Rhinolophus ferrumequinum: one gene and its partners. The protein of the gene in region 1 purifies or fractionates together with the protein of each later gene. This does not show direct contact. Links are inferred from orthologs where the notes say so. Each region holds a gene or a part of one and is shown on either strand. Other genes may lie near its edges.

Region 1 (7,797 bases):
AAGTTTTAAACCTGATTTTTTTAAAAACTGAAAGGATAGTTGGGTCAAAAGATCCTCTTCCTTCAAAACAAAAAGACGGAATAAATAACATCAAACGTGAAAAACCCATATGTAAATCTTGCATTTTCCAGTCTGTTCTAAATTTATGTAGCATAATATAGCCTAAGTTACATACTTCAAAGAAAATAACATTCTAAGGTTTTGTAAACTGTAATATTAAACTATAAGCAGAGGCTTTTCTAATGATGTGATAGGTTACATTACTTCTTTCAGTGTTTCTTCTAAAGACCTGAACAATTTTTATAGATATACTACACTATAAACACTAGAATAATTTCCCTTTAAGGTACCCATGTGATTTTTCTTGCTTCTTAAAATAGTGTTATACATTTTTCTGAGTTAACCAAAATAAATTCTGGAAAGAGCTAAACTGTAATTTCCCATGATCAGAGTGTAAAATCCTTTACTATGCAAATCCATATGACAGTTTAGAATCACCACTAAACACTTTTTGTTCTTTTCAAAGCACTGGTATCAATGAACATCAAACTAATCCTGCTACCAACCCACAAGAGATGTGTTTACTATAAAGCCTCAAACCTCAACTAGACCTTTGGCCCAAGAAAAAAACCTTTACGATGATTTTTCTTACATGTAATATAGTGATTTAAACTAATGCTTTCAGATCCTAAAAGTTTTTTTAAAGTATAATATTTTGAAGATACACAAACTGATCTTTACTAAAGGAGCTTTATTAATTCTAGTCAAACAAATTTCACTCAAGAAGGAAGTGTATTCGAATCAAGAACTTTATTAGAAGGGAAAATATTTTAAACAAATAGAAGTAGGGCTTAAATTATCATTTCTTGTTGTAGCCCATGCTATTCAAATACATTTCAGAAGCAGAATTTTCAACTTTTCTCAAAAGTTGCCTGCTAAAAGGAAGCTATTTTAATTTTTAAAAATCAAAATATATTTTAAAAATTCCAGATCAAGTGTATTACCAAGTTAGCATGAGGAGTATGAAAAAACAGCACATCTGATTTGTTTTGTAATGCTAACGTCCAGTTAGGAACACTAGATGTGCTTTCCCCAAATTTATCTGATTAAGACTCCCACAGGAACACCAGTGTAACAAGTACAGTGCATATTCCAAAAAACAAAATACAAGTTATAAGACCTCACATTCCAAGATGTTCATTCGAGGACACCTGGCAATTAGCTAAAAGAATTATGAGACAAGATTACAAACAACTGAATACTATGGGGCCCCTTCAGTTAGAACGAAAGAAAAAATTATTTGCAATAATTAACAATCCTTTACACTTGCATAGTGCCTTGTAATTTTCACGTTTTATGATAAAACAATTGACAAAGTTGTGCTTTTACATTACCTGTATGAAATTAGCACACACCCCTACTTACTTTAGTCCTAGTTCATAAATCAACCATATCAATTACAACAGGGTGCGCAGAACGATAAGCATCACTTCAAACTCACTAGTATCACTGTAGCTGATACTGTTTATTCAGAAATGTTCCGCTAAGATCCTAAAAACTCCCTCCCATATAGTCTGACCGTCTTTAAAGTCTAAGCGGGACAGGCAGATGTGCCCTCACTCTGGGGGAGGGGGAATTCCTGCCAGGATATGCAATGAGGTGAAGACTGGTTTAAACCTACCCTTCGCAGGCAGGGAGCTGGTTCCACCTGTCCTGCGGTGCGAGCCCGTCTGCCCTCCGGGACGACGGAGAGGTGTTCTTATTACACGACCCAGCTCACCTTCTCCTAGGAGAACTATCAGTAAGGGCTTCCTAAGGGGTTTCTATGGTTTTCCCTCAACTCCCAGGAAAACAAAGGTTCGGGCCCAGCTCTGCTAGCACTCCGCGTTCCGTTTTGGATCATCTGCGGTAGGTGCTCGATAAACCCCAACACGCAATCATATAGCAGAGGATGGCGCGGAGGGCATAAGGTTGGGGGAAATTAGTTACCAACGAGACGAACTTTGAAGTTCTACGGGCAAAACGCGGTTAGTCCCTCAGGAGGTGCTACATTCGAAGGGAGGTGAGGAATTCACAATGTGAGAAAGCGAAATCATGGGCGGGCGAAGAGGGGTCGCAAAGTAGGCGAGTACACGACAGGAACCGGAGGGACTGTGCTGAAGGGCCAACGGGCTGGTTGTCCCCAAAGGCTCGGAGGTGCCCAGTGGGTCAGACCCGTGAGACTGGTTGAGACCCCGCGCTCCGCCGCCCGACGGACTCCTCCGCGAGGTTTCAAACCGCCGCCCCCGGGAGGCGCTCAGCCCATTGGAAGTTCCACAACGACCGTCACCAGCCCACGGCCGGAGCGGCAACTCCTCGGCGGAGCTCTCCCCCTCCGCGTCTCCCCAGGAACCAGACCCCACAAACTCCACCTCCAAGCCGGGTCCCAACTCGAGTCCGGCCGCCTGCTCCAGGCACTCGGAGAGCGCCCTCCGCGAGGGGACCGACGCCCCCCGACTAAGGTGCGCCGCGGGAGTTCGAGGGGCGCGACGGGGCCACGCAGGGGACGGGCAGAACCCGCGTCCCTCAGAGTCCGACCCGGGACGCGGCCCCGCAGCCACCTTCGCCTCGCCCCTCGGGCACGGCCCGGCCGGGCTCCGACCCACCCATCCCGCGCGGTGGCGGGCAGGGCGAGGACCGTAGCGAGCCGACTCCCCCGCCCCTGCTCTTACCCATCTTTCCGCCTCGCCTTGTAGACGTGCCCGTAGGTGCCGCGTCCCACTTTGCACCCTTCGTACTCAAACAAATCCTCCACCCGCTCCCGTTCCGCCGCCAGCTTCGCCTTGAAATCATAATCCATTGTCTGCTTCCCCCATAGAGGCACCGGGACGCGGGGGCCGCTGCCGCTCAGTCCCTCCTCCTCCTCCCCCCGCGACCGCCGCTCCACTTCTCCAACAGCCGCCTCTCGGGCGCGCGCGCACGCGCGCCGCCCGCCGCCCCGTGGTCCGCGTTCAGCAAGGGACTCCTCGGCGGCCGCAGTAGCCACCTCCTCCACCACCTCCTCCTCCTCCGCGGCGGCGGCGGCGGCGGCTCCCGCAGACACCCCCAGTCCCGCCTCCCCCCTTCATTTCCTTGTTTTGGAACCTGGTGGGCCGCACCGCGGCTTCCTCGAGCTCATTAACGAACCAACCCTCCCGCCCCGAGGTCGCGGAGGCTCCTGGGACCTGTAGTTCCGAAGGCACGAGGAGCAGTTGAGTTACATCTGCGAAAGAAATACAGCTCCCAGGTTGCCTTGGGTCGCTATAGCCTCGCCCCCACAAAGCATGCACGCCTGCGCACTGAGCACCTCCCCCCCTCAGGTAGAGCTGGACTGCCAGTTCCTGTGAAGGTAGAAAGTGCGAAGTTGCAGTGTGGTTTCTGCGAGTTTGAGGGAGCTAGTGGAAAAAAGGCCCTTGTTCTGGTGTGAGGAAAGTACTTCACTATAACTGTCCCCGGGGGAGAAAAGTGGAACGTATTTAACAAGCGCCTTGCTCAAGAGTCTGCTCCAGTGGTTTGCGAGGTGAGGACTGTTGTTAGGAGTTGTACTGCAGATTGTTTTTTTGTGGCAATTGGTCCTCATCTTGCCCCGCCCCTCGTCCAACCGTTCATTGGCGGAGACTAGAGAATGACGTCCTCGTTGGTGCGTGGGTATCCCCAGGCTTTGGCTTCTTTCCCGTTCTTGATTGGTAATTGAGTGTGCTCGGTTCCTTCTGATAGGTTAATCTTTTTATTTGACGATGCAAAAACCGTATTTCAAAAGCTGAACATTCAGCGGTTTCCTAGTTCTAGCATCGGTCTGAGGACGTACAACTTCTGGTCCCTAACAGCCAATCATCCTTTTCTTGGCCCTCTAGTCATGGTCTCCGCCTAGTATATGCGATTCCCCTTAGCCAAGCTTTGCCCGTCTAAGGACAATTAAAGGGCTAGAAGGATGCAGTGTTTTAAAAACAATCATTTGGGTTGGACTGTAAAAGTTTTTTACGGTGTATACAAAATGGTGATGTTCTCCTAGAATGTTTAAAAAAGTCCCCTTAATCATGGTGAACATTGATTCATTATTGCAGACATAAAGTGTCAGATGCTTGGGATACAATCTTAAACATGATTGGTGCTACGATAGGATTTATATACTACGTTCAGTGGGAACACAAGGAGGAAATGGTCAATTCTACCTGAAGTTTTAAGGAAAGTGAGTAGTGACTTGTCTGCAAGGTTTGAGAAAACCTGGGAAACTAGAGGGAAGAGGTGGGAGGATCGTTTATTTACTAAAACAGTAAGTTTCCTGGGAAACCTCCTCAGATCTTGAAGTTAATTACGAAGTATATGCGATTCTCTTATTTCCAGGAACTATGGTAAGTGCAGGAAATACAAGATGAAAATTGGTCTTTTTCCATCAGGGAAATAAAACCTATTGGGGAAATAAACATGTGAACAAAAATAAACTATAGATTCAATGAGAAATGGAAGAATAGGAGGACTACGAGAGGACTGAGGTTAGGCTTCACAAAGGAGGTAGGTTTGAGCCAAAATTTAAAGAACCTTGTTTGGAGGACAAGTGGAGAAGTGGGGAGCAGGGAATTATTTCAGGCAGAACCAGCACATACATATACCATGAGAGAACATGATATATTCTGAGAAACGCAACTAACTTGAATATTACAGATTAAGGCAGGGGGAAACGATGGCTAAGAAGAGACTGGACAGGTATCCAGAGCGCAAATTTTGAAGAGCTACGTATATCAAGCAGAAGTTTTAGATTTCATCATACTGTAGGCAGTAGGAAGTCATTAAGGACTTTTGAGCTAAGGAGTAATGCAATCAGTTTTGTGTATTTTAAAAAAAAAATCCTTCAGACAATAGTGTTTGGGATAGAATGGAGGCAGGTAAGTACAGTAAAAAAAAAAAAAACTTGCATTAATTAATACTTGTAAAATACAAAGATCTGAACCGTAGAGTGGCAGTGCTGATTATGAAAAAAGGGCAGATACCAGAATTATTTATGAATCAAATTCAACAGGACCTGGTGATTAATTAAATGTAGGGTTAAAGGAGAGAAAATAATCTAAAATGACTTCGAGGTTTTTTACTTTAACGTAAGATAGAAAAATAAAGGAATAGAAGCAGTTTTTAAGAGAGAGATGATGAGTTTGGCTTGAACGTGTTGAATTTGAAGTACCTGTGGGGCATCAAGATAGAAGTAACAAGGAAATGAACATTTTTACGTGTTAATAAGAAGTTTTATAGATTTGGAAATCATCAGTGTATAATGGTGGGGTGTGGAGAATATTTTTTGGTTGGTTGCTATTTTTAAATAGGAGTTTTTACATTCATTATATCCTCAAAATATCCCTAGGAGATCTGATGTATTATTATTCCTGTTTTACATATGAACAAACTGAGACAGCTAGTAAATTGCAAAGCCAGGTCTTAATGAATATGTACTTGGGATTAAATGGAAATTAACAAATGTGTTAGTAAAAAAACAAATATAGGCTATGAAAATCTTAACTAAAGAAATCAAAAAATGTGACCACATCCTGTATTATCAAGGAAATGGGGAAACAGACACTCTCCTACATTGCCTGTGGAAGTATTCGCAAAATATATACCAAATTATACAAGGTCTGACAATTAAGTTTGCAAACTTGTTGCAATGATGTTGCTAACCTTTTTTGACATAACAGGGATTATTCATTATGAATTTGTACCAACTGGACAGTTAACCAAGTCTACTATTTGGAAATGCTGAAAAGGCTGCGTGAAAAAGTTAGACAAAAACAACCTGAACTTTTCGCCAACAATTCATGACTCTTGCATCACACCAATGACCAGCTTATACGGCAGTGTCTGTGAGGGAGTTTTTAGCCAGTAAACAAATAACTGTATCGGAACACCCTCCCTACTCACCTGCTCTGGCCCCCAATGATTTCTTTCTTTACCTGAAGATAAAGGAAATATTGAAAGGAAGACATTTTGGTGACATTCAGGACACCAAGGGTAATACGACGACAGCTCTGATGGCCATTCCAGAAAAAGAGTTCCAAAATTGCTTTGAAGGGTGGACTAGGTACTGGGGTCAGTGCATAGCTTCCCAAGGGGAGTACTTCGAAGGTGACCGTAGTGATTCAGCGATGAGGTATGTAGCACTTTTTTTAGAATGAATTCGCGAACTTAATTGTCAGACCTCATACATTAGATTTTGATCTTGGCAACGTCCATCAAAATTACATAGTAGTATCCTATGGTTATACTCCTGTGGTAGATGTTGTGATGTGCCTTCCAGATCCCCCTTCAGGATTAAGGGATGTATCCCCCCCCATCCCCACCCTCCAACTGCCTCCCAAGCTGCTGGGAGTGCTGCTACACATAGCCGTCAGTTATCAGTCCTTTTCAGGAATTGCCTTGGCTGAAGAGCCACCACCTCACCTAGATCGTGCCATTTTCCTAGAGCAGCCGCTATCCAATGGCTGATCAATGCAGAGATATAAAGGCCCAGACTGCTCACTGTACTTCAGGACAAATCTGATGGATCATCCCATCTTCAGAACTCCCTGCGGGGTTGACTGAGGTCATCTCTGAGAATACATTGCAGACCAACTTCTCAATCTCCCCGATCCTGCTTCCTTCCTTTCCCTTCCAAAGGTATTGTGCAGTTTATTAACACTCTCTAATACACTGATTACATGTCAATCTCCATCTCAGGATCTGCTTCCCCAGGAGCCCAATCTGTGGTATTCCCCACATGTGCAAGATGATATAATTCAAGGTTACTCACTGAGGATTGTTTATGATAGGAAAGGACTGGAAACAACAGAAATGTTCATTGAAGGGGGACTGGATAAATAAATTATGGGACATCCATCAATGGATCATTATGCATCCCTAAAAATAAAGTGAAGGCTATAAAATATGCCTTTCAGCTCTCCTCCCTGCAGGGAGGCCCCAGCCGCTAAGCTCTGAATCTCCCACACTCCCCATGGCTACTCCCAGCCTATGACTGAGCATAGCAGGATCCTAAGGCAGGTCCATTCCTGCCAGATGTGAGTGGGAGTACTCTGATGGGAATGACTTTGCTTTAAGGACTCCTCAGGCTTAAACCCATCTGAGTCTTTCTTAGAATCATGTTGCAGGCTGAGTCACTGCCTATCCAACTTTCTTTCTTCCTTCTCTCCTTCACAGGGGTCAGTCAGATCAGTACCATAATCTGACAGCTCCACCAGCTACCTCCTTTTTTTCCCTTCTTTTTCTCCCTCACAGGCATCTCCTCCAGTAAGTCTCTTTCCTGTCTAATTCCATCTTAGCATCTGCTTTTCAGAAGACCCAAACAATGAGGAAATTGTACTGAAAAGACCTCCAAGATATATTTTCAAGTGAGAAAAAGCAAGAATGAGAAGAATGTCTATAATATGCTAACATTTTTATACAAAAGAAAAAAATACATATTTGCGTGTATATGCATATACTTACCTCTAAAAAGAGCACAAGAAACTGCTCAAGAAAGGGAACCATTGCTTGCAAATTAGGGGTAGGAGAGAGAATTTGTACTGTATACCTTTTTGATCCATGAAATGTAAATAAAATTTAAATGCAAAAAAAAATAAAAGCTTAGATAAGAAAGGGAGGAGACAGATAGATAGGATTGTGGTTACCGTTATCAAGACAGGTTCAGAGTTTCACTTCATTGTTTTGTTTTGTTTTGTTTTTTAATAGGAGGAGGGAACTTTTCATATATTGAGGGAGAATAGCTGGTGGAGAAAGAAAAAGTGAAACCATAGGAAA
Region 2 (7,399 bases), on another chromosome or scaffold:
AATATTTTGGCTGTATTAGGTTAAACAAATGTGTTATTCAAATTCATTTCACCTATTTCTCTTTACTTTTTTAATGTGGCTACTAGAAGATGTAAAAGTACACATTTGACAATTCTCTGGTGAGTGCTGCTTTAGGGAGTCTTAATGTGTGTATCCTTTATGTCTCTGTAAGTGGCCTAAAGACTGTATTAAAGACTCCATTTGGTTGAAAGTTCCAAAATTTATCCTTCTTTCCTCCTTTCTCTATCCTGACCTGCCTTTCAAGTCATTTTTATTTTTCCTTTCCTTTAAGAGGCTAAAAGAAGGAGGAAATTTTTCTTTTTTTGATTCAGAAGTAAGCACGAGATAAATACATTTAAATGTAATGGGGATATAAGAAAAACTGAGAGTAAGCAAGACTGTCTGTAGGCAATCTGTTAACCAAACACAGTAATATATACACCTGGACAAGCATCAGTCCCACGGGGAAACCCAGCAACTTTAATTACTTCACCTACAGGCACTACACTGTGAATTGTTTATTTCCAGTTGAGTAGAAGTGTAGTCCATGCCAGAGCGAGCTGTTGGGAGTTTTGCTTCTCTTATACCAGACCTATCTCCTGAGGCTCACTTTTATATGTGTTATATAAATGATAATTAATTCATATAGCACACTGACAGTAATAAGTGTCGGTTGGAGAGCCAGAGAGATCTAGGTTTAATCCTGGCTTTTCTACTTGCTAACTCAATTGTTTTGTGCCAGTTACTGTACCTGCTAATGTGTAAAATAGGATAATAAGATCACTCTTCTTCTGATGGGTCAACACCCTGCCTCTGCTCCTAGTCATTCCACTCTCATTTTTTGAAATCTGCTCTGCAAGTATGATTGTGTCACTGCCTTTTGTCAAAGAAATTGTATTCCTTACCTCAAGCCTTGTGAAAAGAGCTTTGAGAAGACCACTGGCCTGGGCACCTGCCGTTTGTGCACTGACCCAGACTGGAGAACATTCAAGGTGAAAAACTGTGGCTTGAGAGTGCATCCATGGTGGGCAAGGAGAGTAGGCTGGTGAGAAAATCCCTGCACTAGAGTTTGTGCAAAGGACGTCTGTGTGTTTCCTGCAGACCAAACACAGGGAGAAAAAAGCCAGCAGCCATGAGCCATCTTAAAGGGACTTTGCCCTAGAGCACAAAAGGGTCCCGACTATGAGGGAACTCCTTGCAGAATTCTGAAAACCAGGGCTTATAGAGGGAGCATGATCTGCTTGGGAGGTTTCTGATGCTGAGAGGTCTTTGAGGCGCCCGTGGATATGACCCAAGGAAATGGGTTTGCTTTTAAACACTTGTCAACTCACAAAAGCACTCCTAGAGAGTTAGCTTCATACTTGGAGGATAAAGTCCCACACGCTTAAAATGGTTTATAATTTCTCCTCCAGCCACATTTCAACTGCTTTCCCCAAGATGTGTCTGGGGAACCTGTGGTTTTCTCTGAGTAATCCTGTTCCACGCAAACTGTTCCCAGGCCCGGGTGGTGGCGGTGGTGTCATTAGCCAGGAAAAGATAAAATGCCCCTTATAGGAACAGTAACAAATGAGACTCATGTTATTCAAAAAGAATGCGTGTCTATCAGCCGAGTTAATCAGTACTGTGATGGGGAAAAAAGCATAGCACAGAACACAGTGGTTTCCATGGTAAGCCCACCATGTTAACTGGCTTTAGTCAGCTTCAAAAGGGACTCTGGACTGGAAGAAAGAGCGAGGGTAAGGTGGGGATAGGGAAAGACTATTCTGTGCGGGACATTTGAATGCATGCCAATAAATGATGAGATGTTAAGAGATGAGACGGAAAATTAAATGCTAAGGGCACTGAAAGAAATGAAGAATCATCTTGTACCTCAAGAGTTTGGGGTGGGCTTCATAATAGTCCAGGACTCTAAGGACTATTCCCAGATGGCTATCAGAAAATGAAGGACCTGGGAATTCCATATTTGGAAGTAGGAATGAGAGCTAATTGAAGCTGGAGATTGAGAAAAAGTTGGATTGGTAGATGGAGGTGAATTGTGCAGAGGGCAAATGCCGGGACGAGGGAGCCAAACACCCACGGGAAGTCCATGTCATGAAAGAATGATTTTTGAGAAATTAAATTATTTTTGAACATATTAAAGCTTTCACTTTTCAAAAAAATTTTCATGTTGAGAGGGCCAGGGCCGGCCCGGTGGCTCAGGTGGTTGGAGCTCCATGCTCCTAACGCCGAAGGCTGCCGGTTCGATCCCTACATGGGCCAGTGCAAGATGGCTCAGTTGGTTAGAATGTGGGCTCTCAACCTCAAGGTTGCCGGTTCGACTCCCGCCCCCTGCAACTAACAGCAGCAACTGGACCTGGAGCTGAGCTGTGCCCTCCACAACTAAGATCGAAAGGACAACAACTTGATTTGGAAAAACTTCTGGAAGTACACACTGTTCCCCAATTAATGTTGAGAGGGCCAAATAATCCATGCCAGACTGTGTCAAAACAAGGGAGGGAGTTAGAAAGGGAGACCAATACGGGGAGAGCTAACATTTTCCCTTTTTCACAAATCCTAGAGACACAGCACTAACACATTTTGGTTTTAAAATAAAATCTTTATGGTTAGATAAGATTTTCAGTGCTTCAGAAGTTTTTCTTTCGTGGAGGCTCTTGCCTAGGTATACACATGAAGAATTTAGGTTACATCTCCCATCAGACTAGGGTATCAGCAAAAACGTATCCCAAAGTAGCACTAGTGATCTATCCATCCACATACCTACCCACCTATCTTCCCACCAGCCAACAAACATGTTTTTGAGTACCTACGTGTGCCAGATTCCATGCTGTGTGCTCAGGTTGAATAACACTGTCCTCTCACCGGCTTGTCAATGTGTTGGGGGTGGGGGAGATGAAACCAGAATGGCAAAACTGATAACTGACACAACTGGGAGATGAGTACTTGGGAGTTCATTATAGCATTTCTTCTGCTTTTTTGGTAGGTTTGATAATTTTCCTAATAAAGCTAGATAATGACTTTATTTTTCAAGCAAAGTAGTTAGATTTGATAGATGCCTATATCACAAGGGCAAATTCAGCTTGGAAGTTACATCCAGGATATTGGTGGTCCTTGGGGCAGGGTGCAGAAGGTGGACAGGAAATATCTCCTGATGGAGGGTAACTGTTCTCCAAAAGTACTTGCTCAGATTGAGTCAAGAAGCCAAAAACCACCGGCCTGACTTGGTCTCAGCCTGCATTGGGAAGTGCTAATAGGTGAGGGTCCGGAGTGAGAAACTAGCCTCTATTGCCATCGCCTTATCTATCCTTTTTTACCTCCCTTTTGCTTACAGTCAGCAGAGGTAAGTAGATATTCAGATTTGGTCCACATCTCCTGAGCACCTACTGTGTGCCAGGTGCTGTACCAAGGCTTTGGGTTAGATTCTGCTCGCACCATCTTATAGAGAGAGGATGGAACCAAGAGTCTGAGAAATTCCTCAAGGTGTGGGAGACGTGACACAATTAGGCAAGGGCAGTTCAGGAACCCAGTCCTTCCAATCCAAAGTCGTGGAGAATAGGGCAGAAACTTCGGATCCGGCAGGGGCAGCTTCCGGGCTTTGAGCAAGTCACTGGGCCTCCTTGAGCGGACTTAATGTCTGTCTACAAAAAGGGTACAGTAAAACCTTGTAAGGTTTCTTTTAAGGATCACAGACCTTTACTGTCAAGACCCTGGCACCAAGCGAGGGCTCCATAAATGGCAGCCATCATTCTTGGCCAAGTGCGGGCGCATCCTCCCGGGCGCGCCTCCCGCGGGGTCCCTCGGGACAAGCCGGGCCCGCCCCCGCAGCTCTGGTCTCCTAGTGCTCGCGGCAGGTGGCCCAGCATCTCGGTGCCCACACCCCGGAGCGAGAATGGAGCGCGGGCGGGTTGGAGGACTAAGGTTTTCCCTGGAGGATCACCTCCCTGCCTCCCTCCCTCCGTCCGTCCACACGCCCGGCGCAGGTGAGATTTCCGGCCCAGGCTACAAGAACAGCGACCTTAGGAGAGGTCGAGGCGGACGACGCTGCCCGCGACCGGGAGAGGGGCCCTGGGGGTGCCCCCTCCCTCGCCAGGATTCGCCCCAGGGCAGGTCCCGGCGCCGGGGCCCCCGGGCTGCGCGCTCTGCGGCTGCGAAAACCTGGAGAGGCGGATCGGAGCGCGCTCGCAGCCAACTCCTCCGCGGTCCGGCCGCCGAGCTGGGCATGCTCAGTGCGGTCGCCGCGCCGCGTCCGCCAACTCGGAGGCTCGCGCTCCCGGGCGGTGGGGGCGAGAACGCCGGCGGCGGCGGCGGCGAGCCGGCGTCGCCCGCCGCCCCCAGACAGTGGCAAACTTCGCGGCGTCCGCAGAGCTCTCCCGGAGGAGACTGATGCCTTATTAATAAAATCAAATCCGATCCCCCCCACCCCAACCCGAATCATGGAGGCTGCGGCCGCCAGAGTGCCGCTGCCGCGGGCCCCTGCCCACTAGCCGGGGACCAACAGGTAAACTGTTGGGGGGTGGGGTGGGAGGAGGAGCTGCGGCTGGGGGGGAGGAGCCTGAGATGCCGGCGGGCGGGCTGCCGGGGTCGGCGCTCACAGCCTACCCTCCTCACCCTCTTTCCCCAGCCCCTGGAGGGGCAGCAAAGGGTTAAGTCGGCCCCGCGCCACCGTGAGCACGGCCCCCTCCAGCCGCCGAGACCGCCAGCTGCGCGCCTCGGCGCCTGCCCGGAGCCGCCGATGCGCCACCGGAGCCCAGCGGGCGTCTAGGAGGCACCCGCGGCTTCCCCACCGTCCGCATCTCTGCCTCCCCCATCCCCTCCAGGCCTCTCCGCCGGAGTCGAGTCCGCGCCCAGGTGGCTGGGTCTGCGGGGCGCGTGGCGGCGTGGAAGGATCCCTGACGAGGAAGAGGGGCGGAGGCGGGCCGCTCCGCAGTCTCTTCCTGGGGCCGGAGGGCCACCCTAGCCTGGGGCGAGCACTTGGGCCACCCGCCTGGGCGCCAAGAAAAGTTTTTTTCTCCCCCGGTGCCCCTCCCCCACCCCCGCCCTGTGCCGGGCTGGGTGGGTTTGGGTCCATTGGTGAAAAAAGTCACACGTTTCCATCAGCTGCTCCTCCCCCTGGGGACAGAGTAGGGGGGGCGGGAGGCCGGCGCTGCGGAGGACCCGAGCGGACCTTCAGCTTCTGTCGGCCGCCGCCACAGGAGCGGTGCGTCCCGGAGCCCCAGCGCAGCAGGGTGCCCGCCGAAGGCTGCCCCCATCAGTGCGTGTCTGCGTGTCTGGCAGCGGCAGCATCCAACCTGCTTTATTCTTGCCTGCAGCGCCACAGCGAGCGAGCGAGCGAGGAGGGGGAGAGACGGAGTCTGTCTGCAAAGTGCTGCTCCCTGGTGCTCAGAGGCGGCTGCTCCAGCTCCAACTCTCATTCATTTCGCCGGTTAACATGAGAGATCATGGCCGCCTTCGGGCTTCTCAGCTATGAGCAGAGACCACTGAAACGTCCCCGGCTTGGGCCGCCGGACGTCTACCCGCAGGACCCTAAGCAGAAGGAGGTAGGTAAGGGCGCTGCCGGCCTCCCCGGCAACCGGGACCGCGCTCCGCAGAGCTGACCCCGGGCCAAGTTGGCCCAGCGGGCAACGGCGGCGCTGCGGGGGAAGGGTCAGGGAGGGGACTGGCGGCAGGGGCCGGGTTGGGGACTGGGGGACCCTGGGCGGCGGAGACCCAGCGGCTGTCAGTCCCCGCGCTCCACTGAGACGCTTGCTCTTCGGGTGCAGGGTCGCTTCTCCGTTACCGGGCCTTGCACAGCATTGCCGGGCGCTCATCTGGTTCTTCTTTGCCGAAACCCTCCTGCTCGCTCTCCCCCGCTTCTGCCTGCTTTATTTTTCTCCCTGCCGCTTTGCTAAATCCTCGTAAACTTTTTGAAAAATGTTGGAATGCAGTGCATCCGACACGGGTCTCGTGTTTTTGCTCCAGCTAAGCAGGGACTGGGTGTTAGTGCGGGGGGTGGGGGGGGCGTGAGGGGGTGGGGACCTTTTCTGTTCAAAATTTGCAGTTTGGAGCGAAGTCGTTTTTATCGAAGTGATAAATATTTAGCTCTTTGGACGTACTTTCTGTATCCCCTCTCCCCTTTAAAAATCGATATTACGGGAAAAAAGTGATTTCGTTCCTGGAGGCGATTGGCTTAATTTGCCGGAGGCAGTTTTGTATACGTAAAAGCAATCCTGTTACCTTGGAAGGGAATAGGTACCGAGATTGCTTCTTTCTTTGAGTGCAACTGTTGGAGAAACCTTGACTCTTGGACTAGGTTCACTAGCTTCAATGGCTAGAGTAACCATGGCATTTTGTAGACATGTATGTGTTTGTCCGTAGTTAACAAGTAATTATATAACAAATCTCCAGTTATAGTGATCACCCTTGGCGACACAATTTGCCAAGGGATTTGCTTTTTTTTTTTTTTTTTTTAAAGCTCACCTGCTACCCTGCTGTGCTTTTCTGAGTTTGCCAGTTGCAGCCCACCCATCCTCTCTCTGTTTTCTTCAGCTAAACACGAGGGAGAACGTTTCAGAACTTCTCTTCCTGGGAATCTAAAAACCCTCTATTAAAAGTTTACCGGCCCACTGACATCACAGAAAGGGCTTTGTAAAGAAGGCAAGGAGAGGTCCTTAAGACTTCCCTTTTGATAAATGTATCTATTTCAGTAATAGAGAAAGAACGTTCTGGTTAAACTGTTTTGTTAACGTTTCTGCAAAAGGACTGACAGCTCCTTTTAGAGGGTTAGCACATTAAACATCTTTGAGCATCCTTTGAGTAGTTCATACTGAAGCTGGGAAGGTTTTTACAGGTGGTTCTCAGCTGAGGCTGAACATGAACATAAGAGTTTTGACGAGACTTTGCAGATTTTTTTTCCCCACCCATTTTTCTCCCTGCTACTCTGACCCAGAATAAAGTTAATTGTTAAGGACGGGAAGTAACAGATGCTAAGGACCAAGTGTAAAGAAAGTTAATAACTTAAAAATCAGTGGCAGGAAATTCTTCAAGTTTTGGTTGGGACAGGGACATTGATTGGCTGCCCTTTATCACCTGGTAATTAATGTCTCACTGCATCTTCCAGAGGGCAGTATAATTGCCGGCATCTTCCCACTTAAGGGATGGTACGCCGCGGATGCCCTGTGCGCGCATGTAGCATTTACTCCTCAGGTCGACACTCGTTCAGGTTGGGGCCTCTATGATTCTGGAAAAAAATAATTTGGGATTTTAGGATCTTACAACATTTTATGGAATTCTAGCACTGGAAGTAACCTTAGAGTCTAGTTTTTAAAATAACTTCCTGTTGATAAAGTGAAACTGAGGCCCTAGAAAGCTACTTAATCAAGGTGCGTGGTGAATAAGCCCGGGAGTTGGACCACCAAACCAGTAT
Region 3 (7,361 bases), on another chromosome or scaffold:
TTCCATCAACTCCCTTTGCTTTCTCTGTTGAGTAAGAACTCCGCGGATCTTTATCAGTCATCTCAACTGTTCAGAGAGTCAAAGAGTTTTGTTGCTAGAAATGACTGAAGGATTGCCCGGCTGCCCTTTTCACACATGAGGAAACTGAGGCCCAGAGAGGTTGAGTGGCTTGTCTAAGACGACAGGGCTGCTCAGTGGCGTGTCTGAGGCTAGAACCTCTGCTCCCTGCGTTCTCATTCTGTACTCACCTGGCAAGGACAATCACATGCTGTGCTCTGGCCTTTTCCACTCAGGGGCCTCGGCTTTGACAGTCAAAGAGATCGCCTCAGAGGAGGGTTTTTGTTTTTGTTTTTTGTTTGTCTTGTTTACTTGCTGATAAATGTACTTTTATGGTGCCATTTGATTATTCAGTTTTCATTTTTATTGATTGATTGATTGGTGGTGTTCATAACTTATTGCATTGAATAGATAATATACACAGTTTGGTAAAAAGAAAGGGGAAGGAAGGAAGGAAAGAAGGAAAGAAAGAAGAGGGAAGGATGGATAGAGGAGGGGGGGAGAGAGAGACAGAGAAGAGACAGAAAGGAAAAACAGCAAGTGAAAAGAAATTCCTCTCCTCATGCTGACTCCCGTCCCTAAAGGCAACTGATGTTACTACAATCTCCCAGGGATATCTCAATTAATAATCTATTTTTGAGATTATCCTATATTAGTACACATAGTGCTAACTCATTATTTTTAATGGTTACGTGGCATTAAATTATATTGTTAACCACTCCCTAAATGATGAACATGTAGGTTGCTGCCAGTTTTTGCTCTACAAACAGTACTACAGTTCATGTCCTTGCACACAGGTCTTTATATATCTACTCAAGTATCTCTGGAGGATAAACTCCTAGAAGTAGAATTGTTGGGTCACAGGATATGTGCATTATACATTTTGAAATTCTCCAAATTGACACCCAAAGCTGTGGTGCTAATTTGTATTTCTACTGGCAGTGCATAAGAGTTCTGCTCCTTCCACATTTGCCTAAGCTTTTAAAATATTGTCAGCACGTATTACGGTTTTAGTTTCTGTTTTTCTTATGATGAGTGTCTTAATGTTCGTGGGCTGCTGTAACAAATCACCATAGATTGGGTGGCTTAAACAACAGAAATTTATTTCTCACAGTTCTATAGGTTGGGAAGTCCAAGATCAAGGTGCTGGCCAATTTTATTCCTGGAAAGAGCCCTCTTCTTGGTCATGTCTTCACGGGTAAGGAAAGCAATCTCTCTCTTGTCTGTTCTTATAAGGGCACTAATCTCATCATGAGGGCTCCACCCTCATGACCTGGTTATCTGCCAAAGGACCCATCTCCAAATACCATCACTCTGGATATTAGGGTTTCAATATGAATTTTAGGGGGACACAAACATTCAGTCCATAGCACTGAGCGAGGCTGAGCATCTTTTAACATGTTTAAAAGCCATATGTCTTTCCTATTCTCTAAGTTGTTGATGTCCTTTGCTCATTTTTCTTCTAGGTTGCTCTGGGAGACCTTAAAAAGTTGAATCTAAACTTGCTGAACAAAGAGAATTTGGTGACCAAGTGTGTAGGATGAAGGCCTCCTGGGATGTAAATACACCTAGATATGACGGACCATCATACCGTCTCCTTGCTCAGTCCTAAGTAACACTGTGCATATTGATAAAGTGCTTTGGCTTTTTTTTCTAAACACTGTCACCACCAATCTCTTAATAGAAATGCACAACATTGACCTGAGGTCAGTGAGTCAGCAATTAGGATCTCTTTTTGACAGGTTAGGAAAGGAGGCTTAGAGAATTAAACGCAGTCCCCCCTTATCCACGAGGGATACATTCCAGGAACCCCACTGAATGGATGCCTGAAACCTCGGTTAATACCAAACTGTATATATACTCTATTTTTCTTACCTATGATATTTTAATTTATAAATTAGGCATAGTAAGAGATTAACAACACCTAATAATAAAATAGAACAACTATAACAATATATTACAATTAAAATGACTGTGATCTCTCTCTGATAACCGATCTGATAACCAAGTCGGCAGGTAGCATGTACAACATAGACATGGTAGACAAATAGGTGATTCATATCCCAGGCAGGACGGGGCAGAAAGGTGAGAGATTTCATCACACTACTTGGGTCTGTATGCAATTTAACGTAGGAATTATTTATTTCTGGAATTTTCCATTTAATATTTTTGGATCATTGTTGACCGTGGGTAACTAACTGAAACCGCAGATAAGGGGGACTACTGTATGTAGGTCAAGGTAACACAACCAGGGGTGCCCAAGCCAACTACAGGCACCTGCTCCTGGAGCCTTCTGGATTCAGGTCTGGGCTCTGGAGCTAGATAGACCCAGGTTTGAGTTACTCAGTAACTGGACAGCTTGGAGATGTCACTGCATGTCTGAGACTTATTTTAGGCTAAGGATAATAACAGTATCTTCTTTATGTGGTTGTTCTGAGGGTCATGTGCAATAATGTATGTATATTCGTTATAACATAGTGTCAGCCATGATAATACATTATAACATGCTGCTCATGCGTTTTCCTGTAGTAGTTATTTGTGGTAGTTCCAAAGCTCAATTCATGTGTGTAAGACTTCTTTTATTACACTCCATGTTCCTACTCTCTTTTAGTCCAATGCACCTAAAACAGCTGGCTTTTCCATGTTTTGGGGCTTGTTAGTGAAGTTGTTCTCTCCTCCCCACCTTTGCAGTGAGTAACCGGGAGACCCTTCTCATTCCCGCACTCCTCTGGACTCCCAGGCCATATGCGATCAGGAAATGTACATTATTGAATGAACGGAGCCAAGAGGGAGGGTCTGCTCCCAATACAGCCCTAGTACAGTGCCTGGCAGTTATATTCTGGAACAGAACAAGAGCTCAGGAAAGATTTATGCAATGAATGAATGAATGCACACAATGCCTAGCAGTAAGGGCTCAAAGGCATGTCTGTATTCCGTGCATATTGCCTCCTACACAGTAAGCGCTAAGTGGTAGCCATGTATATCCCTGGGCGAGGCTTATAAAACCTAGTGTAAGAGCTCAGCTTCACTGTGCATGGGTGCAGGGGTTCGAATTCCGCCTCCTCTTCCCCGCTATGCGACCTCGGCAAGTGACTTAATCTCTTTGACTTAATCTCTTTGTGCTTCAGTTTTCTCATCTGCAAAACGCGGACAACGGAGTGCGACCTCCACGAGACACTCCCCGTAGCATTTGAACCTCCTGCCTGGCTCACAGCGAGCCCCCGCCACGCCAGCCGGCCTGCGTCGATCGGGGGCACAGGCGAGGGAACTGGAGCTTTCCGTTGCGGCCGCCACCAGCGTTCCCAGGGCTCGCGGTCGCGCCCCGCAAAGATCTGTGCCCCCGAGGGGGCGGGGCGCGGCGCCCACGCGAAGCAGCCCACCGCAGCCTCGGCCCCGCCAGCCGCCGCCCGCCCGGGAGCCGCGCCACCCGCACTTCTTTCTCTCCTTCTCCGTCTTCCTCGGTCTCCCGGCCGGAGAACCCGGCCACGATTAGCTCAGCAGCGCCGCCCGCGAGCCGCCGGCGTGCCGCCGCCGCTCCGGCCCCTCCCCCGCCAGCCCCCGGCCCCCCCGCGCGGCCGGCGCCCGTCACGTGACTCGGCGCTAGCCAATGGCGGGCCGAGCCGCGGTCGGCGGCCGCCATTGCTGTCAGAGCGAGCGAGCCCGGGGAGGGAGGAGAAGCGAGGCTGACTGGGGAGGAGGGGGGGGTGGGGGAGGAAGAGGAAGGAGGGGACGTCGCTCGGCTGCCGGGGTCGCCCGCTGGCTTCGTCCGCACCCCCCCCTTCGCGAGTTCGCGCTCCGCGGCGGCGGCGGCTCCGAGGCGGCGGCGGCGGCTCCGGGGCTCGCCTCCCCTCACGCGCCGGCGGGGGCCGAGGGGGAGTCGGTGGCTGGAGATAAACAAGGCGGCGGCGGCGGCGGCTGAGGAACAGGGAAGGCGGAGGCGGCGGCCGGCCCGCAGCGCCAGCCCGGGAGGCAGCAGCGGCCCTGAGAAGCGGGGAGGGCGCCGGGCCGCGCGGACAGCGCCCCCCGCCGCCGCCGGAGCCGCGGGAGCCGCCGCCGCCGCCGCCCGAGCAGGAAGGAGCCGCGCGGCCGCCGCGGACCCCCCCGCCGGCCCGGGCCCGCCGCCCCCGGCGCGGCGTCGCCGCGGCGCCTGCCGCCAGCCCGCCGGCCCTCGCGCCCTCCCCCGGCGGCGGCGGCGGCCCGGCCGCCCCGCGCTCCCCAGCGAGGCGCCGCCGCCCGGCCCGGCCTCGCCTCGGACGCCTCGCTCCGACATGCCCCGCTCTGGCGGCCGGGCTCGCGGAGGATCATGACTGCGGCAGCGAACTGGGTGGCGAACGGGGCGAGCCTGGAGGATTGTCACTCCAACCTCTTCTCGCTGGTGAGTAGCCGGGCTGCGGGGAGGGGGGCCGTATTGGGGGGGGGGTCCACGACCTCCGCCGCCGACCAACTTTCTCCTCCCGCCGCCGGGACTTCGCCCCTCCCTCGCTTCTCCCCGCTGTTCGCCTCTTGCCGATTCTCCCCCTTTTGGATCGTCTCTCCCTCGCCTTGGATCCCATCCAGTGTTTATTTGGCTCTTTAAAAATCATTTGTGAGCGCGGCGCTCGGCGTGGAATTTGCATGTGGAAGTCTCAAAGCTGCTGATTCTGGGTCGCACTTCGAACGCCCACCCTCTGTTGCAATCACACCCCCCTTCCCCACCCCTTTCCCCCCTTTTTCCCCCTAAATGTGAAAGGCTTTGCCTTGTGCTGCCCGCGCCTGCGAAGCAGCCTTCTCCCCCCCCTTGTCGGATCGGCTGCTCGCCCGCCCGCCTTTTGAATTTTTTAAAAAAATTCCATAATGACACCTGCAATTTCGCCCCAAAACAGTTGATTGAATGCGATTGTGTCAGTAAAGGACTCTTGCACACGAAGCTCCCGCGATTGTAAACATCGACAGCCGCCTGCCTCTCGGGGCTTACTACGCTGGAGAGCCCTAAAGCCATTGCACCGAGCCGACGGAAGGTGGAGAAAGCTTTTTCTTTTTTCTCTCCTCCTGTGTCTTTTAAAAACTGTTTTCTCTATCCTGACAACGAATCCACACACACACAAAAAAGCAACAAGCTGGGCGGTTTGATAACATCGCTTTTATCTGCTTTCGCCTCTCTCGCGCGCTCTCTGATAATTGACAACTTTTCCTTCGGATTTGAATCGCCTGCCTTAATCTTGAAGCAGTTAGGGTGTCAATTGTTCTCCGGGAAGCCTGGCACCCGACGAAGGCGTCTAGATTCATCGAAATTAAAAATGTATAGGGCTCCAGCAACTCTTCCTTGGCGGTGGCAGTGACATTTGGTGGTAAATGCCATCTTTGCTTTTTATTGGGTCGTATTACCTAGCTCTGAAAACATTCACGTTGTTAAACCTGGCGTTTAGGCTAATAATGGCAGTGCGTGGTCTTTAAATATGTGCTTTGTGCATGAGTTACTGTATGTATAGCTATGTGCCCGGGAGACTACGAATTTGTTTAAATATTGAGCAAAGATTTGTAAACAGATGTAAGGCAATTATGTTTGAAGCGTAGAATATAATTGGAAAATTGGCTAAACGGTTTGTTTAATTTAGCCTTAAAAAAAAAACCCCAACTTATTTTAAGTTGCGTACCCTTTTTGGGGGGACTGCCTTTTGGACAGGATGCATTTTTGGAAATTGTTCTCTGTAACCTCTGCTGTAGATAGAAACATTATTTTCTCTTAATCCTTGTTTACACTGGATAAATAATTTAGTGTTGAAATTGTAATTACTTACACTTAATTATGAGTACCATAGATGCTTTTTTCTTTGAGACTAGTGGGTAAATACAAATTCTTGCCAACTTTTCAAATGTGTTATTTTATTAAATGTGTTTCATTATGCAGATAAAAAAATCAAAACGTGATTTTTATCTACAAGACTGGCATAGTATCCTTGCTTTCACTATAGTAAGATCAGGTCAACTTTTTTTTTCCCCCAGCATTTTTATTCAGATATTTAATCTTAAAATTCAATTATAAGTTGTGATTCTTCCTCTCAGTGCTGATGATTTTCACTTGATCTTTTGATATATGGGAATAAAACTCATTTTTCCTCTTCTTTCCTCCCTCTCAGTCTATCATTTAGTGTCAGTCAGGTTCAGGGACTTTCATAGATTAGCAAATATATTGATTAAGGGGTATTTAAAATGGTTTTTGTTTGGCGGCTGGTGACCACATTGACACTTTAACAGGTAATTAAAATAACCAAGTAGACCAATGTTAGTGAGAAGGGATCCTCCAAATTACCATATATCATGCTGACTGGTAATGTCTTCTATGTATGTGGCTGATTTATATACAGTAGATTTTGTAGACAAATGAAAGTGTATAATGTGTATAGCCAGTCTGTAGGATATATTTCTTTTTTTTTTTTTTAAGCTTAAGTAAGGATAATAATGTTAAAGAGATAAGATGATTGAGGTTCTTTTGGAGAAATAAACAATTTTATATGAGAGGATGCTGTGCTTTATGGCCTAATAAAGGTTTGTGCTTTGGATATTTCTGTCCTAAACCTCTTTAAACCAGGAATTGATTTTTGAATATACTTTTTTTTTTTTTAAACAGAATTACTCTTTAGTTTGCAATTTGGAAATTCAGAACTGCAGAAATGCATGAGTTGAAATTTTTTAAAGGACTGAAATGTCTACATTCACTTGTATGTGGCGGGTGGATAAGGTGCTAATTTTCTTAAAAAATTGTGACTCAGTTAAAAAGCTGCTGATTATTGTAAACGTTTCTCATTCCAAATTGAGAATTTTTCTTGAAAATCACACACAGCAACAACCTAGACTATTAAAAATATGTTGCCTAAAGTACATTGTATGGAATAATTAATTCCAAACGTGATAAAATCATCACCTGTTCAAAATAAAGCATGTATTGTAAGAACTCTATATACTTAATAATAGCGTATATTTTTCTTTTTGGTCTGCAGTTTTTTGAGCAGAGAAAAGTATTGTTTATAGAGAATTTACCCAGATACTCACATTTACATGGATTGAAATATAAACAGGACATTAAAGTCTGTACCACAGTAATGACCCACCAACTTTGTATTACCTTGAGGTGTTCATTATGGTTTAGCAAAAGTTGATTGTGCAATCAATCAGGTGCCTTAAGATTTTTGTTAGTCCTTTACTTATTTTGCTTTCTGATTTTCTACTGCATCAGTTTCTGTGGCATTAAATTTCCTAAATTCTCTGTCAAATCCTGCCCCCCTTTCCTAACATGAAAATGCCATTGTGTATACATGATATGGGTC
Region 4 (7,054 bases), on another chromosome or scaffold:
CCCCTGCCTGTTTCTGCCCCCTCATCTCTCACTCTCCCTTTGCTCATTAGTTACAGAGCACACAGTCTCCCTTCCTGTCTCTCTAACTCCGGAAGATCATGGCAGCCTCTGGCTTTTTGCTTGAGTCTCTTTGCTGTCTCCCTTGTCACTCTTTCCTTAGCTCCAAAGTCACCTTATGGGAGAGGCTACCCTGATCACGTGCTATAAAGTAGCTATGCTCATCCGATGTAACTATCACTTTGTTTTGTACCCCCCCCACCCCCGTAACCCTTATAACTATGAAATTCTTATTTGTCTGCATGTTATCTGTGTTTCTGCATTAGAATGCAAGGCTTTTGTCTGTCTTTTTTATCTTCTAGAACAGTTTCTGGCACAGTAGACACACAATAAAAATTTGTTTGTTGAATGAATGTATGCCTTGTTAAGCTATACAAGACACCTTTAAGGAATAAACTTTCCATCGAGATTCTGGACATATAACCACATAAATAAAGGTTATTACATGTCATATTTTCACCAGCCCTTCTCATTACGAATTTCATACCATCATTCATTTGTAGTTTATTATAAAGAACACTGGACTGAGAGTCAAGAGTCCTAGACTCTAGCATTGATCCTGCCACTAACTACCTGTAAGACACTGTACCTCTGGGTCCAATAATTCCATTTCTAGAAATTTATCTTGAGGGAAAAAAAAATGGACATGTGCACAAACATGTATGCACCAAGATGCTCACCCAGTGTATTAATAATCGTAAAAATTGGGATGGAGATTAACTTCACAAAATGGGGATTTGACTAAATAGACTGTGATTTGTCCATCAATGTCACTGTGAACTTATTTAAAAATGATTATATGCATTTTGTTACTTATTCAATAAATGTTCATTGACCACTTGCCAATTTCAGGCACTGTTCTAGGCGCTGAGCGTGTAGCAGTGAATGAAGCAAAGTCCCTATGCTCATGAACACAGTATTTTGATAGGGAAGAAAGACTATAAACAAACAAACAAATTACATAATATGATATCAGATGATGAGAGTTCTATAAAGGAAGGATAATGTATATGCGGGGACAGAGCCCCAGAGAGCAGTTTCCAGGCTCTCGGCCTCACGTGTTGGGGTGCTGGCTCAGGTAGTAGATGGCCGTCAGCTGTGGCTAGTTGGCCGTCAGCTGTAACCAGTGAGCCATTGGCCACTAATATAATTGCCATGGCTTTGCTAGCAGAAAAATTGGGGCCTAGCAAGAAGATGGTGGCTGAGCTAGCAAGAGTGGATTGCAGAGAGGCGGATGCTGCCAGCGAGAATATAGTGGTATGACTCCCCTATTTATGGCTCCGTGAGTGTTCCTTTTTGGCCTCACCATATCCTGCGTTCTTGTGTGGGGAGCGGGAGCTGAGACCCCGCAGGCCGCCCTACACGACAGTATAGTAAGGGAATTGGGGCATCTCTCAAGAGAATGCTTGGGAATGTGTTATTTTATATCGGATGACAAGGGAAGACCTCTCTGAGAAGGTCACATTTGTCCAGAGACCTGAATGAAGTAAAGAAGGAAGGAAGGCATGTGAATCTCTGTAGAAGGAGGGTTCCAGAAAAATGCAATGGCCCTGAGGCAGGAATATGCTTGGCAATTTTGAGGGAACAGAATAAAACTTATAGCTGGAGAAAAGTGAGCAAGAGAAAAAATGGTAGGAGATATGATTGGAGAAGTCGGCAGGGACTAGATTCTGTAGGGCCTTACATAGGCTATATTGAGAACATTAGATTTTATTGTAAATATGATAGAAAACCATGAAGAATTTTGAACAGAGGACTGGTCAGATCTATCTTATATTTTAAGACAGTGTGGTAAGTAGGCTAAGGGAGGACAAAAGTGGAAGCAAGGAAGCCATTTAGGAAGCTATTGCAGAAGTCTAAGGGACATAATGGTGGCATGGACTAGGAATATAGCAGTGGAGATGGTGAAAATGAGTTATACTGTATTGGGGACTTTTACTTGTTTCTAAATAGAACTAATACAAAAGGCTGTTATGGTAGTTTTGAAAGAGTATGGGAGAAAGAGTAAAAGATGAATCTTTAGATTTGAGCTTTTGCAATTGAGTGAAGTGAAATTGAGTAAATATGTGGAATACTGTTGGATAAGGGGATCTGACTGCAAAGGAGAGGGTGTTGCCAGAGCCTGCATATCACCTGGATGTTATCACCTGGATGATATCCCACTAAAAAGTAAAAATTGAGTCCTGGGTCAATTCAAATGATCAAATATGCCCAATGTTGCTGAGAGTGGAGTAAAATGAGAACTAAGAATGACCATTGGAGGTCACAGGTGTGGGTCACATTGATCTTTGGTGGGGAGAGATGCCTGATTAGGGTATGCTCAAAAGTGAATGGATTTCTTCAACAAATAAATTGATATGGGAGGAAAATTGAGGTGAGGGCAGGAAACTATAGATTAAAACATAATTAAAAGACATATTAGCCAGTCACAAAAGGGGAGGGTTTTATTGGATCCTGAGGCAATTGGTGTCCAAATGTTGACTTGATTTTGATGCTATTCAGCAACTATTTATTTTAAAGTGAGTTCTGTGTTATATGAAAAAAATGAGAGTCCTTATCTTTCAGTGATGCTTGTGGAAATAAAATAATATCTATAAGTAGATAAGTGTTGAAGTTGGGTGATGAGTACACCGTTCTCTCTACTTTTTTGTGTGAACCCTGAGAAAGAAAATATCTTCCAAGGACTCATCATGGTTAACTGGGTACAAATTCATAACCAGAGTCTAGCAGCCATTGCCTACAGAAGCCCCTCAGGTACTCTACATCTCAGGGGAAAAACACAGTGTCTTGTACTGTGTTCCTGCCTGTGAGTCAAGCCTTATAAAGGAGTTCCTGGTATAGTCTTTCCACCAATGGGCTGAAACCTGCCCTGTCCAATGGGAATTGCACAGCTATAGTTTCATTTGCAACTTTACTGACCAATCAGAGCAAGTCCATAACAACCAATAGGAACGTGTAATTCCGACCAATCAGGACAGTGCTATTTAGACCAATCAAACTCTATAAATTTTGATCCCTCATTTGCATAGAAATGGACCAATCAGGGACTAGAGCAGGAACTTTATAATATAAAGTGGCTTCTCCTCTGTGTTTGTTTCCGGGTGGGGTGCAATTTAGGTTTCCTATGTGTTTCCCACTTTTGCAAACTGTTTACCTGAGCAGTTTCTCCTCTTACTGCACCCTAGACTGAGGACTCCTGTTGGCATTAAATTGGTGGCAGTGACCTTTTGCTGACATTTGGAACTCTCCATAGAAGTTTTTAAGAAATAAAATCAAAGACTCTTATTTTAAAGAGGTAAAATTGAGAACTTCTACCAGAATAACAAACTTACTTTTTACGTGCAACATGCTCTTGTAAGATTCCCATGAATTTAGAAATTTGTGACACTTCTAATGAAAATAACCTCCAAAAGAAAACTTTAAGTCTGTTTTTTTTTTTTTAAACGTGCTAATTTGTTGCCCGGAAATAATATAGACATCTCTTAATCCCTAAACAAAAATAAAAGTGAACGGTGAAGAAAAGGAAATTGAAAATGTATTATTGATTCCCAATCACGGTCACAAATACTTCCAGATTCATATATATATATATATATAATATATGGAACATATATAAAAATATATATATATACACACACACATATATATCACATAGAATCCAATCTCATCTTTTAAAATATTTTTGACAGTGGGGTTAATTAGAATCGACATAGTTTTTAAAAATATCTGCTCATCTGTATTTTCTAACTTTTATGTAAGACATATAGATGCCTCGTTTAATTTAAAAAAAAAAGAAAAGAAAAAAGAAAAGAGAAACGGAGCTACCAGCTGCGACGTTTACTGATAGAAGCCAGTACAGAGAGGACCTAGCCTACTTTAAACCCCGCCGGCGATCACGCCACCCAATGGAACTCAGCGGGAATGAGGCGCCAGGGTAGGCGCATGCGTAGTAGCGAGCCAGCGGTCTGAGGCGGGGCTAGAGCCTCGGTTAAAGGACAGCTCTTTCAGTCAATAAAGAAAGAGCGTCAGTGAGTTTTTCCTGGAAGACGACGCCGGAAGTAGAATTTCGGCGGCGGTGGCGAAGGACGCTACCGGAGTAAACAAACCCAGAGCTGAGGTGAGTGGGCGGCGACGGTTTGGGGCTCCGTTCCGCGCGTGTTTCTCTTTCCGGACCCCGAGACTTTGGGCGGATTGGGAATGGGGGGCTGGCGCGCAGTGAGCTCGCTCGCCTTCCTCTCCCGCGTCCCCTCTGAGAGCGCGGCCTCCCCGCCGCTCGTGGACAGCCCGGGCTCGGCGCTTCCTCCGTGTGGGAGGCCGCGCTGGACCGGAGCTTGGGAGACGTGGGTTCTAGTCCCGCGCCGCCGGTTTGCTAAGCGGTGTGGCCTTGGCGAGTTATTCGGTCTCTCCGGCCTTTGTAAGAGGAGGATGCCATTCCTCTCTTTCCTCTTCAGGGAACACCCCAAGGCTAATCGTCAAAAGGATCCTCTGAGAGGTTTTAAAAATTACTTTGTTAGCAGCCCCATTCACTGTAGACAAAGTGAAGCAGATGACATGACGGGGCGGGGGGGGCCCTGGAATGCCTTTCTTTTTTTGTTAAGCCCCCCAGAAAGGAGCAAACTGGAGGGTGGCTCTTGAGTCTGATCACCGGCTAGGATACCTGGTATTATTTTTACCAAAGACCTCTATCGCTTTTGAGTAGTTCAGTCGAGAGAAGTAATGGAGAAATAAACAGAATTTCTGTAACATATCAAGTTCCTTTTGTACAGTTAGAAGCTTCACAGTTTACTGATTTCAAAGAACTTGTGCTGCGCAGCTAAAAGGACCAGAGGTAAGAATTCCCGCTGTGTACCATTTACTAACCTTGTGATCTGGTGCAAACATTTCCCCTCATGGAGACTTGGGATCCTTATCTCTAGTGAAAATAATAATAGTGCTTCACTCAGAATTGTTCTGAAGATTAAGTAAGAGAACATAAAACAATGGTACCTGTCATGTAGTCGGTCTTTGGAAAATGGCAACTTAAATACTAGAGGAAGGCACGTGGTGCTGGGAAGCACAAAACAGGACTCACAACCTAAAAAGGCTTGCGTGGGGTGAAACCTGGGCTGTCTAACATTTCCGTTGAAGTGCCAGGTCAATGCTAATTCTCTGATTTGGTAATTAAATTCCTTAAAAGAGAACATTATGGTTGGGGGATATTTGAGGGTAATAGGGCGAATAAGGAAAATGTTAACATTTGGAGAATCTGGGTGAAGAACACAGATGTTCTTTGTGCTATTCATACAGTGTTTCTGTAAGTCTGAATTTCTGTTAGAAAGTTTTAAAAAGTTGATTGTAACTGTTTGCAACTGTCATAAGTTTGTAAATAAATGAAACAGTACACAGTGTTTGTAAATAAAGCCCCACCCCATGCACTCACTTGCACTCCTTTTTCCTTAATGGCTGTATTGTATTATGTAGACATCTTTTATCCAGCCTTCATATAGATAAAACCATGGATTAATTCCAACTTTTCCTACTCTTTTCAAGCAGTGCTACGTTAAACATATTTATACAAATTTTTTTGTGTGTGTGCTTGTGCCAATACTTTTATAAGATAAATACCTAGAAATAGAATTGTTGGTTCAAAGAATATCATCATTAAAATTTTTGGTACTGCCAAATTAAATTCCAAATATGTATTTGTTTCCTTTTCTATCAATTGTGAATGAGAATTTCCTATATTCTCTCGGGTGGTACTGGCCTACCACCTACAAGTGTTACGTGGTAGTCCTTATGGTGGCTTCCATGAGAGCTAAGGTGAGTGGATGCTCTCCATCCCAGAAGGCTTCTCTGACAGGCCAGGATAGCTAAAAGCCTGCTAATAAAATTGGGGTAGCCACTCTGAAGAAACTGAGAGGTAGGAGAGTTTGTGACCTCTGTTAGAATCCAGGACCTGCCACATAGAAGGTGTTCTTATATTTGCTGAATGATGGAATATTTGAAATCTTGATAGTCTGTTAGATGAAAGCTATCCTTTTAAAAATTTGCTTTTAAAAGTACATTAGTCTTAAGTTTCCCACCTTTATTTAACATTTGCATTTTTCTTGTCCTTTTTGCCTATTTTCTTTTTTTAATGTAGACTTAAAACTCATTCAGTGGACCTTTATAAGTATCTAGCACCTTCTAGGCATTGTTTGAGGTGCTGGAGGTGAATTGTGAATGAGATAGGCAATTCCTGAAGTCATAGTACTTTCCTTCTAGTGGGGATGGAGTCAGAAAACATGTTTTTAAAAAAATCAAAATAAAATTTCTAATATTTGGTCTTTGTTAGTTTGCAAGCATTCTTCTCCCAGAAAGATGGGATTACCTTTTATTTTTGCTTATGAGATATTTTCCTATATGGAATTTTTAGATTGATTTATTTTTATTAAATTTATTGGGGTGTCGTTGGTAATTAATAACATTATATAAGTTTCAGATGTACATTTTCATAATACAACATCTGTATATTCTATTGTGTGCCCACCACCCAAAGTCTAATCTCCTTCCGTCACCATATATTTGACCCTTTATCCTCTTTATCCTCCCCCCAACCCTCTTTCCCTTTGATAACCACCATTCTTTTGTCTGTTAGATTTATTTTTGGTAGGTAGATCTATTGGCCTTAAAACGTATTTATTTTCTTGATAACTTGTAAGCAACACTGGGATGGAGGCAGTGTTTTTTGTTTATCCTTGAAAGGTAGTTAGTGTAGTGTTTGAGATCTTTAGGCTCTGGATCCTTCCTCTAGTATTTACACTATGACTTACCACAAGTGGTTCAACCTTTTTGAGCCACAGTTTTCTCATCTCTAAAATGGAAAGAGCGCCTTTCTTTTCTCAGATTTCTCACAACCATGAGAAAAGTATTTAGAGCAGTGTCTGTACATAGTATGTACTCAAATATTATCTGTCATCATAATCTATGTATAGTCATTGTCATACCAAACAATAAATTTATGAAGGAATGAGTACAC

What was found.
Region 2: the proteins of CDK19 (region 1) and MED12L purify together in Homo sapiens (affinity purification with mass spectrometry; 3 studies listed by BioGRID and IntAct, counting the BioPlex papers as one, with this or other methods). This does not show direct contact. The link is inferred for Rhinolophus ferrumequinum from reciprocal best matches to the Homo sapiens genes CDK19 and MED12L.
Region 3: the proteins of CDK19 (region 1) and MED13L purify together in Homo sapiens (affinity purification with mass spectrometry; 5 studies listed by BioGRID and IntAct, counting the BioPlex papers as one, with this or other methods). This does not show direct contact. The link is inferred for Rhinolophus ferrumequinum from reciprocal best matches to the Homo sapiens genes CDK19 and MED13L.
Region 4: the proteins of CDK19 (region 1) and MED7 purify together in Homo sapiens (affinity purification with mass spectrometry; 5 studies listed by BioGRID and IntAct, counting the BioPlex papers as one, with this or other methods). This does not show direct contact. The link is inferred for Rhinolophus ferrumequinum from reciprocal best matches to the Homo sapiens genes CDK19 and MED7.

Annotation. Positions count from the first base shown.
Region 1 is NC_046286.1:63,019,957-63,027,753, forward strand, and holds the start of CDK19 (cyclin-dependent kinase 19), read right to left. Parts: upstream 3,013-7,797; 5' UTR 2,840-3,012; coding exon 2,712-2,839; intron 1-2,711.
Region 2 is NC_046285.1:10,000,535-10,007,933, forward strand, and holds the start of MED12L (mediator of RNA polymerase II transcription subunit 12-like protein), read left to right. Parts: upstream 1-4,384; 5' UTR 4,385-4,845; intron 4,846-5,306; 5' UTR 5,307-5,435; coding exon 5,436-5,534; intron 5,535-7,399. UniProt on the Homo sapiens protein: May be a component of the Mediator complex, a coactivator involved in the regulated transcription of nearly all RNA polymerase II-dependent genes.
Region 3 is NC_046308.1:10,238,470-10,245,830, reverse strand, and holds the start of MED13L (mediator of RNA polymerase II transcription subunit 13-like), read left to right. Parts: upstream 1-4,360; coding exon 4,361-4,432; intron 4,433-7,361. UniProt on the Homo sapiens protein: Component of the Mediator complex, a coactivator involved in the regulated transcription of nearly all RNA polymerase II-dependent genes.
Region 4 is NC_046307.1:27,384,890-27,391,943, reverse strand, and holds the start of MED7 (mediator of RNA polymerase II transcription subunit 7), read left to right. Parts: upstream 1-4,039; 5' UTR 4,040-4,174; intron 4,175-4,823; 5' UTR 4,824-4,885; intron 4,886-7,054. UniProt on the Homo sapiens protein: Component of the Mediator complex, a coactivator involved in the regulated transcription of nearly all RNA polymerase II-dependent genes.